Mus musculus: one gene and its partners. The protein of the gene in region 1 purifies or fractionates together with the protein of each later gene. This does not show direct contact. Links are inferred from orthologs where the notes say so. Each region holds a gene or a part of one and is shown in the gene's direction. Other genes may lie near its edges.

Evidence for each region. The genes of interacting proteins can lie anywhere in the genome.
Region 2: the proteins of Fbxl3 (region 1) and Cul1 purify together in Homo sapiens (affinity purification with western blotting; 6 studies listed by BioGRID, with this or other methods). This does not show direct contact. The link is inferred for Mus musculus from reciprocal best matches to the Homo sapiens genes FBXL3 and CUL1.
Region 3: the proteins of Fbxl3 (region 1) and Cry1 purify together in Homo sapiens (affinity purification with mass spectrometry; 4 studies listed by BioGRID and IntAct, counting the BioPlex papers as one, with this or other methods). This does not show direct contact. The link is inferred for Mus musculus from reciprocal best matches to the Homo sapiens genes FBXL3 and CRY1.

Annotation. Positions count from the first base shown.
Region 1 is NC_000080.6:103,092,173-103,097,404, reverse strand, and holds part of Fbxl3 (F-box/LRR-repeat protein 3), read left to right. Parts: intron 1-1,863; 5' UTR 1,864-1,864; coding exon 1,865-2,212; intron 2,213-4,978; coding exon 4,979-5,101; intron 5,102-5,232. UniProt on the Homo sapiens protein: Substrate-recognition component of the SCF(FBXL3) E3 ubiquitin ligase complex involved in circadian rhythm function. Plays a key role in the maintenance of both the speed and the robustness of the circadian clock oscillation.
Region 2 is NC_000072.6:47,519,623-47,524,517, forward strand, and holds part of Cul1 (cullin-1), read left to right. Parts: intron 1-25; coding exon 26-157; intron 158-1,170; coding exon 1,171-1,263; intron 1,264-3,455; coding exon 3,456-3,503; intron 3,504-3,581; coding exon 3,582-3,664; intron 3,665-4,076; coding exon 4,077-4,182; intron 4,183-4,894; coding exon 4,895-4,895. UniProt on the Homo sapiens protein: Core component of multiple cullin-RING-based SCF (SKP1-CUL1-F-box protein) E3 ubiquitin-protein ligase complexes, which mediate the ubiquitination of proteins involved in cell cycle progression, signal transduction and transcription.
Region 3 is NC_000076.6:85,146,019-85,151,250, reverse strand, and holds part of Cry1 (cryptochrome-1), read left to right. Parts: coding exon 1-38; intron 39-2,452; coding exon 2,453-2,637; intron 2,638-3,255; coding exon 3,256-3,344; intron 3,345-4,374; coding exon 4,375-4,515; intron 4,516-4,595; coding exon 4,596-4,907; intron 4,908-5,232.

The DNA of each region.
Region 1 (5,232 bases):
CTTTAGAAGATTTCGCCAGATACAGCAGAGCATCCTGGCAGGAGGTCTGGAAGTAGGAAGACTTTGTCATTCTTTTTTGAATCTCTATCTCAGAATTCTGAGTAGTTTCTGCCAGTAAGAAAGTTTGAGTCCTAAGTAGCAGACTCTTCGTTCTTTGACCCAAATTGAAATGCTAAAATTAAAGTTAAGCCTTCAGGATAAGTTAAAGTTGGAAAATGGGTCATAATGACACGCTTACCCATAGAAGGACTTTTTATTTTAATTTAATGTCAGTGTTGATCATTCTAACTTTGAACACACATAAAAATCTATTCATAGATTCATAAGTTTGAATGTTCCATAAAGCCATCTTGTCATCTGTTATTTTGTTTTCTGAATTCTGCTTTTCCTGGAGACTATGCCCTTTTGTGTGTGTGCATACAGTCAGATGCAGGAACAACAAAGGAGACAGTTCCTTTTTCAAGGCCTCCTGGACTGACGATGTAGGGTTGTGCTCTCTGCCATCCTGTTTGTTTTCTCCAGCCCTCAGCCCTTCTCTGCCAGCCTCTGGATGAGAAAGTCTGTACAGACGCATATCCTTCATACCACGGAGGAACCCGATTCTTGCGACATGATTTGTCACAAGTTGGTTGGAGTCAAGCCATCCTTTTGAGTCTTGTTTGGACCAGCGCCTTACTAGAATTGCTCTCTAAAAATCATGGTAGATCCTAGACTAAATACTAGTACCAAGGAATGGTCCAGGTTAGACTAGAGTGCAGTGTAAATAAAGTAACAAATGAAGATGTGTCCTTTGGAACTCTGATTACATGAAATAGCTGTATACAATGTAGAAAGAAAAAGAGCATATTGGGGAACATAGCTGGAGCTTGTGCCGCCCCACTGCGCATTTTCAGCTGTTACCCTAAGCTAGTGATGCTCTTGCCAGGGCATTTCTCTACACCACTGCTCCCTCCCCTTTTTTGAAAGAAAAATTAAATTGCTCTTCCCATTCTGGGGACAGTCACTTCTTTGTGATGGCTTCCATACTGGGCTGAGATGTCAAGAACCCTGTATCAAAAGATCACCATTTTGCAAACTGAAGCATCTGACAGTCTTGTACTGACAGTCTTGTAATTTCCCAAAGCCATGGAGCTATTTTGAAGTGTAGCTAGTATTCAAACCTCGAGAGAGCTTGGTCTTCGAGCTGATGGTACCGTTTGTCGTGAACATCTCATGGCATGAAGGGGGTAAGAATACATAGAAAAACCATGGCGGAAACATACAGAAAATGGACAGGAAAAACAGTGACAGTTATGTGTTGGGAGAAGAAACCATATCCTAGCTGAGACAAAGCTTAGCTTAGTCAGGCAGACTGCTGTAACTACTCATCTACTTCATGCAGCTGCAGGTCGAGCTTGGGCGGGAGTACTTAAGGCAGGGGCTTTACCATTGGGCTGTACTCTCAGTCCAGATTTACGTCCACCAAGCAGAGGTGGGGTATGTGTAGCAGGCTGTTCACAGGCTGTTCAGTGCAGCTCTGTTGACCACTTAAGAGTTTAGAGGTTCATGCGGACCTTGGTGTACCTTAAATTTGACAGAAAATTGGATTTTATCACTGTAGTTCTCCTTTAGAGTTGACTACAAGTTTTGAGTTATAAATTCATGGTTTACCTAAGTTATAAGTAGTTTTAAATGTAGCTGTTTAAAATCACTTCAGGAGTTTCATCTCCACCGGCAGGTTTCATTGCATTTTTATATTCTCCTTGAATTGTTGGGCCAGGTTTTCATGCGTATTTCTGTCCAAATCCAAACACATTTCAGTAACAGAAGATGAATTTGATCAAAAGTTAAGTAGGATGGGAAATGATGGATTGTCTTGAATAGGATGAAACGAGGAGGAAGAGATAGTGACCAGGACTCTGCTGAGGAAGGCACTGCCGAGAAGCCCAAGAGACCGAGGACGACACAGGAGCGCTCGCAGCCTTGTGACTGGGGTAACCTCCTGCAGGACATCGTCCTCCATGTTTTTAAGTATTTGCCTCTTCTTGACCGGGCTCATGCTTCCCAAGTGTGCCGGAATTGGAATCAGGTATTTCACATGCCTGACTTGTGGCGATGTTTTGAATTTGAACTGAATCAGCCAGCGACATCTTACTTGAAAGCCACACACCCAGAGCTGATCAAACAGATTATCAAAAGGCACTCAAACCACCTACAGTATGTCAGCTTCAAGGTAACCCCTTCCATCCTTCTGTTAACGAGTAAAGCGCCTCACTGCCGTTACTGTCACAGCCAGTTGAGCTTCTGATGTCCTTAGAATAGTGAACTTTTCAGGGAAAGTGCTTAAAGTTTTAAAATTATTGCATGCCTTTAAGAGTTCTTTACAAATATTTTTTTATATTTGCTAAAGCTAAAATAGTCCTTTAATTTCTTAAAAGAGCAAAAGCAGCCACTAAGTGAGTCTAAATAAGTGACTGAAGTTTTAAATTAATGGTGAATGGTTGGCAGCAAATTTGAGGGAAGAGAAATATATCACAAACGTTAGGGCAGTGAGTTTCCACCTGCTGCGCGGGACTCCTTGGAGGGGTGGTGGTGATGGTGTCAATTACTTTATGAAGTAACAATGGAATAATTTTATGGTTGGGGGTCACCACAACATGAGGAATTATACCTTAGGAAGGTTGAGAACTACTGCATTAGGACGGTTTGGTTTTGTTTGGGGGTGTTGTTTTATTTGTTTGTTTTGGTGGTGGTGGTTTGAGATAGGGTTTTTCTGCATAGTTTTGGCTGCCCTGGAACTCCACTCTGTAGACCAGGCTGGCCTCAAACTTAATTTCCTGCCTCTGCCTCCCAAGTGCTGGGATTAAGGGAGTGAGCTGCCACCACGACCAGTGAGTGTTGCTGGCTTTGATGCATTTTTAAAAAACCAACAAAAACACTAAAGATGATGTAGAGACTAAATAGTTCGAGTGTATTTTAGAAGGAAACAAAAGAGGATTCATGGAAAAATGCAAGAGAGCTGTTTGCTTCATTTCAGTGTTACAAGGGACACGTAAGACTCACAGAGTGATGAGGTGGGTGAAGGAAGGTAGCCTCTTGAGGTTTGAATAGTGTTAATCACAGTACCTATGTGAGAACAAAGGTTCAGCACATTGTATTTTGGAGATGAAGAAAGAAAAATGGGATGCTTGCTGAATCCTTAACGTTAATTTTTTTCTAATATGATTTCTAAATGATAGTTATTGTTAAATGATTAAACTGGGCTAGGCCTGGTGAGTCACTCATGTAGCTCTATGACTTGGGAGTCTGAGGTGAGAGAGAATCAACAATTTAAGGCCTTCTCTTAAAAATGTTGAGCATAAAAACCAAAAAGCTGTTGTAAAAGGACAGGAATTGCCTCGTTTGCCTCTATTTCCTGTTTGCTGAAGGGGCCAGCATAAAACCTGTCTAAGCAGTGCTCCTCACCTAAAGCTTCGTGCCCTCCCTATGCTGTCTTCCTCTAAGATAGGAGAGCTTGGTAATAGATATGGCTGAGTGGATTGTGGTCATAAAGGTACTGGGTTATCAGGCATAGGATTGCTAATCATAGCCAAAGAGAAAAGAGTTATCAGGACACTGCCTGTTAAGAGCAGCCTGGGCTACAGAGTGAGTATTTAACAGGAAGGACGCTGTTTCAAGAGGCAAACAAAGATGCCTAGTTAATTTTGACTTCACTGATGCCGATCAGTGTAGATGTGTCCCAGACAGACTTACTGATACAAGTTATTGTTTACCTGAAACTCCAGTAGGGTGCATTATTGTTTGATAAGGGGTAGGATTCAAGCAGACAAGTGTGGAGGGACTGCTTCCCCTCCTCCAGGGAGGAAACCTGAATTGCTTTCCCTTTGCTTTCGGTCATCTTTGAGTTGCCTTAGAAAACTGTAATGGCAAATGCTATAGAAAGGAGATTGTAAAGAGCATTCCTGCATATGAATGCAGGTCATCTCGGTCCTGGGTGTTCCTTTATAAGTCTATGACACAAGTCAGGTGTATCCAACAGATGGAGCTCATAAAACCAGTTGTGCTTAAGTTTAACATTTCTTGTTACAGATTTATTTGTGTGAGGAAGTAATTTCTAGTTTAGAAAGCAGACATGTCGCAGGGATTATCCTTAATATTTAAGTGGTCACTATAGGCTGGAAAAACTTAGAATCAGATTAATTAGTCTAAAACGGTGCTTTTCACGCTGTTCAGTAGACTCACCAAGGGGAGTCTAAAGGCAAACCGTGCTCAGTCCCACTCACAAAGTTTCTTAGCCATGTGGGCTAAGCATAAGAATTCCAATGGCTTCAGTACTTGGATGGTTTTCGTGCGGTCTAGGAACTTCATTTTGAGAACGACAGTTGGTACGACAGTTTCATACACAACAGCACTTAAGAGCTCCTTCGAGAGCTCTGCTGTAAAGCACAACTTTAGAAATAAGAGTAATGGTATTAGAGGTTAACATTTTAGTCTAGAGAAATGTGGAGAAGATCCGCTGCCTCTCTCTGCTTTAGTTCAGACTTACTCTGTGCTTGTGTAGTTGGACACCCTTGCTTCACTCTGTATTTCTTTCTATTAAAGACATTAGAGAATTTCAGGTTGTGTAGCTCATCTGAAAATTCTGAACAAATAGACACTAGTTTCTTCTGGTACCCTGAAACAGTTCGTCATGAGACACTGTGTGTGCATGTATTGCTTGATTTAACCAAGTACAAAATACGATTTAAAGACAATTGATTTCATACAGTTACTTTGAAATAAGTCAAATTAGTCTTTCAGCACCAAACACATATATATATTATTATTATTATTATGAACACAATCTTGAAGATTAGACTGTTATGAGAGATGATTGAAAATCATTGTCCTTTAAGTGATAATGCATTAAATTAGTAACTACGTCTCTTGCTTTTATAAAGTTAAGATACTCAAAGAGAAATGTGGGTATATACGTGAATGAGTCGTGTTTTCTTTTAAGGTGGACAGCAGCAAAGAATCAGCTGAAGCTGCTTGTGACATACTGTCGCAGCTTGTGAATTGCTCTTTAAAAACTCTCGGACTTATCTCGACTGCCCGGCCAAGCTTTATGGATCTACCAAAGGTATCTGCTGGGTTTGTTTACTCCCTTTGCAGAGGAATCCAGTGAAGCCCTAGCATTCATTGTTAGTGCCCACAGTGAGACAGAGGGGACAGCAAAGCAGTATTGCGGTGGAGATCTGGGGCTTGTTTTAC
Region 2 (4,895 bases), on another chromosome or scaffold:
CGCATAGTGCTGTTCTTTCATCTAGTTGGAGCGCAGTTATCAGCGATTTACAGCTTTCTACGCCAGCCGTCACAGTGGCAGAAAATTGACATGGTTGTATCAACTGTCCAAAGGGGAACTAGTCACTAACTGCTTCAAAAACAGATACACTTTGCAGGTAAAATCTTTTTATTTGGGTAAAATATTTGAGTACTAATTGATGATAAGACAACTTATAGAAACCCAATTAGATAGCTCATGCAGTGGGATGCAGTTCATTCTCTGACAAAGCCATGTAGGGAGTAAAGCATGCTTGTCATGGGCAGGTGAGCTGAACTCATTTTCTCTGACTATAGATGCAAGTCACTTCCTTACTCTGAGCCTCAGGTTTCTCCTCCACTGAGTTAGCAGTGTTTGCTTACACCATAGAAGTGATCTTTGATAGGTTTGGTAGGTTTGCATGACATGCTGGGGTGACAAATTTAAAAGATGACATTTCACTCTCTAGTTCCAGTCAGAGCTCTCTGCAGCCTCACAGTGATAAGACTCCCTAGCACGTCTAGCAGTGTGCAGTGCCTAGTAATAACAGCTATGGGCTGATTGCATTTCTACAAAAGCTGGGGTCCAGTTAACTGTGGTTCAAAGTCTAGGTTCCTTCTACTCTCACTTCTGTACTCAGTGTGTTTCACAAGTAAAACTTACTTCATTCCTTGAAAAGGTCTCAGTAGTGAGCTGGTAATGGTAATTAAACTGTAGAGTATGTGACGAAAACTACTCACTAGTTTAACCTTTGTACTTCCACATTGATAAGTTAATTAAGTAACCATTATACCTGGTGTGGAGGTCTCTGGCAACTTAAACATACACATAATGTATAAATGGTATGCATCCCCAAAATAATTTTTGTTCTACTATGCATAAAAATTAAACTTATAATTAATGTCTCTATACCTGGTGTATGTTTATATTATAGGTATGCTCATATATTTATGCTTATATAGGGTACATTTCAGGAGAAAAATGAGTCTTTTCAGTGTTTGAAAGGTATCTTTAAGAAAAATGTCCATTCCCCTGGTTGTGACATTTTGTATTCCCTCTCCTTTTTTGCCTCTGAAGAATGCTTTTCATGAAAGCAGGTTGTACCTTTCCCATGTTTTCACATTTCCTCTTTCTTTCCTCTGGACCACGAAGGCGTCCACATTTCAGATGGCAATCCTGCTTCAGTATAACACAGAAGACGCCTATACTGTGCAGCAGTTGACTGACAGCACTCAGATTAAAATGGTATTTCCACTGTTTGGTACTCACGCTATACTCTCAAGCTGCCTCTTCTTTGTTCATTGGGATGTTGTGGAAAGGGGGAGAGGACATGGGTTTCTTTGGCTTACTAGATGTTAGCAGCATGGAGAAAAAAGTAAAAGCAGTAAACTCTGACCAAGGCACCAGAAGACCAGGCCAGATAGATCCACAGAGAGCATTTCACTGGGGTGTCTGACACCTTGGATGCCAACAGGACCACTGAGTTCTCATGGTTGAGTCAGAGAAGTTTATATAATGGGCAAGGTTCACTTGAGCCAAAAGTTAACCTGACTAGTCTCAAACTTGTGTGAGGAGCATCCAGCACATTCCTGGTACTGGTGGTACTAAGGTCTAGGGTGTAAAGCTCCATGTGCCACTATCACGACTTTATAACTTTATAGTATTTAAGCAAATTGTTTTGGAGAAAACATGGGTTCTCAGGCAGGCATGGTGGCCAGCACCTGTGATGGTGGTGGCCAGTTCCAGCTGTGTCCTTATAAACCTTTATGCCAGTTTCATAAGGGTGTTAAGAAATGCTCTCTTTTGTCAGCATTATAAGGACAGTGTGAGATGCTCTATTTTTTTTAAGGGTTTCTCTGTGTAGCCCTGGCTATCCAGGAACTCTCTTTGTAATCCATGCTGGCTATGAACTCAGAGAGATCTGCCTGACTCTACCTCCCATGTGCTAGGCTTAATGGTGTGTGCTACCACCACTGTCCCTTGAAATGCTGTTTTAAACCCAGTCAGTCACTGTCTGTCTCTGTCTCTATCTCTGTGTGTGTGTGTGTGTGTGTGTGTGTGTGTGTGTGTGTGTGTGTGTGTGTAGATATATGTACTTGTTTGTATTCACGTGTTGGAGACTAGAAGTAGATGTCACTGTGGTGCACATGTCATTCTTTCTTTGAAGCAGCGTCTGTCAGTGAATCTGGAGCTTATCCATTCAGCTAGGCTGCACAGCAGTAAGACTTGGGGATTCACTCATTTATTCCCCATAGCACTCCAGACAAGGCTGAGCTTTCACGTGAGTGCTGGGAAGCAGATAAAAGATTTTTTAACTTTCCTCATTCACTTTATTTTTTGTTTGGTTGGGATTTTCTGTTGCTGTTGTTGAAATAGTCACCTGTACTCTAGGATGACCTCAGATTCACTGAGTAGGTAGAGAATGCCTTAAACTAACTTACTGTCCTGTCTTTGTACATACATCTGTGTATCTGTGATAGATTACTGGCATGCTCCACACCCGTTTTTATGCAGTGCAGGAGATTGAATCCAGGGCCTTGGGCATGCTAGCCAAGTACTCCACCAGTTAAGAAGTGGTCCCTGCCCCCATTTAATTTTTTAGTTGACATGTGTACTTACTGATGGGTACACTGCTGTACATGCATTTTTTTTTTTTAAATTTCAATGAAACCTACTTTTTTTTTTTTTTTTTTGCTGGCTGGTTGGAAGGGTTGACAGGTCTGCCTCTCTAGTCTCTGCTTGGCCTTCTCCTCGATGCCACACCAATCTTTCTACTTCTTTGTATTACTAGAATTACCTTATGGGTCTTTAGCTGCCCTCCTCCAGACCCCAGTGCATAGCTGTCACTTCTCTGACAGCATGGGAGCCTTGGTTAAGAGTGCAGGTGAGAAAGTTAAGTCCCCATGCCATGAGGCTTGATGGTTCTGGAAATCACCAGAGCAGCTAATAACTACAGAGGTCATATGATGCACTGAATTGCCAACTAAAGCCAAGTTGGCAGCAAGTCAGCTGCCTCCAAGTCTCAGCATGTTCATGAATGCAGTGCAACTTTGGTTCTGCTGAAGCTCCTTACTGCTTCGTTCGCATGTTCAGGGGTGTAGTTTACTGGTAGAACACTTGCCTGGCACACAAAGCCTTGGGTTTGATCCACAGCACCACATAAATGTCTTATGAACCTTCAGACATCGAAGAAGTGAATCATTTCCTGTAGGTTTCATTGAAGAAGCAGGCCATATATTGTGTCCAGTGTTTGTGGGAAACTGCATTATTATTGCCTTTGAATAGTGGGTGCTTCAGGCCATAAAGAACAAGCCATGTCACTTTCTCTGACTAGTTCTGCTTTGAGGTGATGACCATTTCTGTGAGGCTGGGCCTCTGGGACAGGCACTGTAAAGAAGTATTCTTCCTCCTTGCTTACCATCTTTCTCTGATTGCAGGACATTTTGGCACAAGTCCTACAGATTTTACTGAAGTCGAAATTGCTGGTATGTTTGTATACTTTGTGTTGAGCTAGAAGACACCCTTTCCCTAGGATGTGCCTAGTAACAGTTATTTTCTTCTAGGTCTTAGAAGATGAAAATGCCAATGTTGATGAGGTGGAATTGAAGCCAGACACCTTAATAAAGTTATATCTTGGTTATAAAAAGTAAGAAAAATCTAACATGTAGCTGCTGGTCTTATCCCCTGGCACTGGCCTACTTCAGGATCGGCACGAGCCAGGGGAACTGGACTCTGCTTTTAATGCTGAGTTTGATTTTCTTTATCTTGAAAATAAGTCTTGAGTGGCTCATATGGCATGTTTAGACCTTTATATCAAGTTATTTTGGTGTTATTACAATTCACTAAATTGAGGGGTCAAGTGTCACTTCAGTCATCCCTCTGTGGTAAAATTACATAGCATTGGTGGAGGGGCAGTTCGCAGGTAGCAGTAGAAATGATGAGAAATGATATAGAAGAGATGGGTGTGAACCACCTGCCCAGTCCAGGGATGCAAAACGTGTAGTTGAAAGACAGGAAGCAGACTTTTCAATGACCTGTTTCCTCTGTTATCTTGACAGTAAGAAATTGAGGGTTAATATCAATGTACCAATGAAAACTGAACAGAAGCAGGAACAAGAAACTACACACAAAAATATAGAGGAAGACCGCAAACTACTGATTCAGGTGACTGAACCATGTCTGCACTGTACACTTAGGGAAACGTGCTGGCCTTGTATGTGCTCAAACGCTGCCAGAATGACAGTTCGGTGATGGCCAAAGATGACAATGCCTGAAGCCAGCACTTGGTGTCTGAGGGATGAAGTATTTTATGTTCCAAACAAAAGTAGTCTAATCTTCTTGCCTAAGTATTGGGAAGCAGGTAATATGTGGCAGATTAAAGAAACAGGAGATTGGGGGGAAGGGGACCTTCTATTCCTTTAGAGATCCATTTTTTCTTTATTCTTTAGTGCTTTATAGTTGGCCAAAATTAGCCCCTCCAAAATATTTAAGATTTACATTTAGTGTATATGCATGTTTTGTCTATATGTAGTCACATATAGATAGGGTTCATGTATGCTACTGGTGTCCCCAGAGGCCAGGAAAGGATGCTGCATCTCTTTGGTTGTGAGCTACTCCATAGGTCCTGGGAACTGAAACCAGGTCCTCTGGAAGACCTCAGTGCTCTTAAACCACTGCACCATCAATCTAGCCCCTTAGACAAAACATTTTAATGGATAAAGCTGATGGATAGAGCTGATTGCTTGTACCCTCCCTGACCTGTAGGATAGTTGTTACCCTAGCATGGAAGTTGAGTATGAGGTGGTACAGGCTGCCTTGAACTTTCATGCTCAGCTGTTAAACCTCTAAGCATGTGTTTTTCTTGTTGATTGCATAGG
Region 3 (5,232 bases), on another chromosome or scaffold:
ATCGTGCGCATTTCACATACACTGTATGACCTGGACAAGTAAGAATTTTTATTACGAGAAATTATGTAATGACATTGCCATCTTAGACATTTTAGGTACACTTTTGGGTGATATTAAGTACATAATTGAGTAAGGTTATAAAAATTGGAAATATTTGAATCAGAATTTTAAGAATTAAATGGGTTTATATCAAGCCCTTAGCATTTTATTTAGCTGCTGTGATTTTTATTCACTCAGTTGTAATACCACGGTGAATAAGAAAATTTTTAGTGCTTCAGTTTTAAACTAAGAAATGCTATTTAACACTCTTTTTTTGTTGTTTTGTTTTGTTTTTACTGCTACCTTGGCCCACTGTTGCCTTTCAGGGCTGTCAGCATAATTCAATTAAGAGCTTATTTGACACATTTCCATATCTTACTTTGATATATTCTGTGTGATTTTATTATATGTACACTAGCTTATCCCTTCATTTAGTTGAGATGAAAACTGAAGTCATAACCTACCCAGTTAGAGTCCTCTGAACCATGGCCTCACATCCCATCTGCCGTGTGTCTGTTGATGGGGTGTGTGGCAGTACCAGGGGCGCTGTGACAGGCAGAGCCTGCGGCTTGCATTAGACAGGAGCACATGCTTGGGAGATTCAGGAGCTGTCTAAGTTCACAGTAACTTCTGGCATGAAATTGTCTTTATAAACATGAGAATTCACAATTTGTGTATCTATTAAGTAATTTTACCTTTTAAGTTATTTACACATTATACCAAGTTAACAAAGCTAATTCTATAAACAACACAACAAACTGACTTTACTTGTGTTAGCAAGTAAATGAATAAAACCATTACTTGATCCAGACACGCGTCTTCCCTTGGTGATGTCTTACATGTGCTAGTCCTTTTGGTACCAACACTTCCATCAGGTCCCAGTTTTCTTAACGTCAATGGGTGAATATGGAGCAGACAGAATAGGGTAAGAGAAGTTGCTTCTAAATGGGAGACTCAGCCATATTGTAAAATTAGGTTTTGTTGAGTTGATTGTGAATACATACCAAAGACTCGGTGTGTGTGTGTGTGTCTGTGCCTGTACGTCTGTGTGTGTGTGTGTCTGTGCCTGTACGTCTGTGTGTGTGTGTCTGTGTGTCTGTGTCTGTGCGTCTGTGCGCACACGTGTGTAAAAATCTTTTCTATGAGTTTCAGTTTGCTGGTAGATAATTAAGAGACACTTAATAGTGTCATTGTAGCATTATTGAATTCAACAAACTTCATTATAGCCCTATATGTAATATCAAAATATTAAACCAAAACAAACTGTACTTACAGCAGGGAGGATAGCTTTTACTCTGAAACCATGTCTAGACTTAATGCAAACCCTTGGAAGTGCTGCTGGCATCTTTCCCTAGAACTATTGTAGGATTGAGGTACCCAGTGGTCAGCAATAACTACATAATGCACTTAATATTAATGACTATACTTAAATATAAATGACTTGGAATTTGGGGTGCATGTATGCATAATATTTCTCTCCTTATCCATGAGGGCATTCCAAAGCCCTGGTGGCTGTTAAGAACCACTAGTCACGTTGAACCCATGTTCACTGTGCTGTCTATCTAAAGAGCACAGCATGGCAAAGCTTGGCTGTAAATTATAAGTTATAGGAGGTTAACAATGGTATTGAACGTTTAGAACAGTATGCTGTAATAAGTTATGTGAGTCTAGACATACTATTTTTGTAGCACAATTGAACACAAGTAACTGAAACCACGGAAAACAAAAGCTCAGCTAGGGGCAGGTGCTGGGAACAGATACATGTGCTGAGGTCTGTAACAAGGACCCACACAACAGAAAACAGCTGTGGAGGCTTCACGTCCATAGAGGAAATTGGGACACAGCAGAAAGGGCAAGAGGAGATAGGGTTTCTCTGTGTAGCCCTGGCTGTCCTAGAACTCACCCTGTAGACCAAGCTGACCTGGCATTTATAGAGACCCACCTGCCTTTGCCTCCGAGTGCTGGGATTGAAGGTGCGCCCCACTACTGATAGCATGTTTTACTTCTGCTGATTATTTCTCGTTAGAATTATCAATCTACTTTAGTTTTATTGGTGCCTCTTGAGATTTATTAAATTGGTTCATTTTTTTCACTTGTCCATTTATATTAATTTTTCTATACATGATCTATAGGCTAGTTGAACTACTTTGTTAGTTTTTAGTCACAATCCTAAATACTTGCCATCAATGATTTGATGTTTGCATACTGTATTATTTGACACCTAGTAGACATCTAGGAATTCAAGAGAATGGTTTTACATTCATTAAATATTTTTGAACACATTTTCTGGTCTTATCAGAAGCTAACATTCAAAATATCTTAATTGATAAATTTTCTGATATAAGCATTTTTGAGCTTATCAGCCAAGCTATATTAGCATTTACTAACTGTATCTTACTCATTCTTGTAACAGGATCATAGAACTCAATGGCGGACAGCCACCTCTAACATATAAAAGGTTTCAGACTCTCGTCAGCAAGATGGAGCCACTGGAGATGCCAGCAGACACCATCACATCAGATGTGATAGGAAAGTGCATGACCCCTCTGTCTGATGACCATGATGAGAAATATGGCGTTCCTTCCCTGGAAGAGCTCGGTGGGTGCAGCCGCTGATAAGCACCCAGAGTGCATGGCAGCACAAAGTGGACCTGATGGCTGACTAAGAAAAGTCAGAAAGAACACAGTCAGGATGGGTAGGGAGATCTGGGGGATCTAGGAAGCTTTAGGGGGACAGGTAAGGGCAGTGTGATCAGAATACGATGTGTGAAATTCCCAAGTAATTTAAAAATATATTTTAAAATACTTCATAGTCATAAATCATTTGGACATTTCACTTCTAATGTATTTTTACTGGAAGAAGAGAAGAGTAAAGGGGAAAATAAAAGAGAAACCTATTAACCAAAAATATCTCATGTGCATTCTTAAACTGTGACTGGCTGTCAGGTGACAATGTGCATCCTAAAAATGGGAACCATGTGTGGTCCTTGGGGCAGGAGTCTGTCATTGGGTGGGGCCTAGGCCAGTGTAGTCCTGTGTAGTCCTCTGTAAGCCAGTGTAGGCCTGTAGAGTTGTATTTATTTGTTTATTTTATTTTTGCTGAGTGATTTGTTTCCCAAGTAAGTGTGGTCAGGAAAACAGTGATTTTTTTGTTTTATAATAATTACAATATTAATGATGTTTTCCTTTCTTCATTTATTTGGTTCTTTTTCCTTAGGCTTTGATACAGATGGCCTGTCCTCTGCAGTGTGGCCAGGAGGAGAAACTGAGGCACTTACACGTTTGGAAAGGCATTTGGAAAGAAAGGTACAATGTAGATTCCAAATAAACCTTTCAGAAATTATCTCAGCCTTGTTTAGATGAGACCAGGCACATCCAGGGAGGCTTAGCCGTAAGCTTTAGACAGAATATGCTGTTGACAAAGGAAGACCGACAGAAATAGTTACAGCAGCACAAATCTAACGTTTGGAAGTCACCATCAGCCATCAGGTACTGCCCTTTCCTCCTGCCTGCTTCTTCCTGTTGCTGGAGCCAGGCTGCTGCTTCTGTTCTTCCCACCCGTATCAGCTGGCTAACGGGCTGGAGCAGGATTCTGCCTGCAGCCATGCTGCTCTGTCTGAGACTCCAGTGGGTCCCATGAGACAGTTTCACTTGTCTGTTTTGTTGGTATCACTGGTAATACGTATTGATTGTAGAAATTAGCAAGACTCCCATGTATTGATCCTGTTCCGCCACTCCCTCAGATACTTCTCCCATTGCAGATGACCCTCATCCTTGCCCTCTCCCGTCTCTTAATAAAGCTTAGTTTGTAACTTAGATGCATCAGGAGATTCATATACTCACTAATGGTAAGATAGTATAATTGTGATCTACTATAATAAATTATTTAAAACCTACAAGTTATTTGTAGAATTTTCCTTTAATGTTTTCCAACTATCATTACTCGACCATGAGCATCTGAAACCTTAGGAAAGGCAAGGCACACCATTGTATTCCTTTGACCCAGTGTTCAAAGAGACAGGGTGAAGGTGCTTCACTCCTGAGGCTGGGGACCTGATGGCCGTTTATTTCACATGAGTGCATGCTGTACATGGATGGCTTCAGGGAAAGACAAGTCACCTTTTAAAGTCCCTTTCTCCAGTTACTAAATCAGAGATCTATAGTGGGATAATAACAAATTCCTCAAAATCCTCAGTTTTGAGGTGTGTGTGTGTGTGTGTGTGTGTGTGTGTGTGAGTGTGAGTATGTGAGCTCAACTCCTTCCATGCGGTGCTGGAGAGTTGAGCTCATGTTAGTGTGATTAGAGAAGTTAATTTAATTGTCTCTGTGTTTCCAGGCCTGGGTGGCAAACTTTGAACGACCTCGAATGAATGCAAACTCCCTGCTTGCAAGCCCAACTGGACTCAGTCCTTATCTCCGCTTTGGTTGTTTATCATGTCGGCTGTTTTATTTCAAACTAACAGATCTCTACAAAAAGGTATTATCTGAAGTCAGAGTATGTTTTTTGAAATACTTTAAAATTTTTTTCTGGTAATACTTTTTGTTTTTTAATCGCAGGTAAAGAAGAATAGTTCCCCTCCCCTTTCTCTTTATGGGCAACTCCTGTGGCGTGAATTTTTTTATACAGCAGCCACAAACAACCCACGCTTTGACAAAATGGAAGGGAACCCCATCTGTGTTCAGATCCCTTGGGACAAGAACCCCGAGGCTCTGGCCAAATGGGCAGAAGGCCGGACAGGCTTCCCGTGGATTGACGCCATCATGACTCAGCTTCGTCAGGAGGGCTGGATCCACCATTTAGCCAGACACGCGGTTGCCTGTTTCCTGACTCGTGGTGACCTGTGGATCAGCTGGGAAGAAGGGATGAAGGTAAATATTCGGACTGACGTAGCATTTGCAGGAGTCTGTGGCTACACTGAGGTGTGCTCGTGCACATCTGAAATCCGAGCAGCAGCAGCCTGGGAAGCTGGGTAGGGGAAGCTTCACATCTTGGGCTGCAGAGTGAGGTGGGGAAGAGCTTGGCTTGTGGGGTGCAGGGCTGCGCTTGTCCGTTCTGCAGGCTTTCCAGTGGATAAGCATGTGATGCCCACAGTAGAGACCCAGTTTTCAAGAGCAAGGTGTGAAACTCAGATGGGCTCATTAAATTGCTTACCCAAGAGTCACTTCTACAGTTAAACCTTCCGTCTACTAAGAG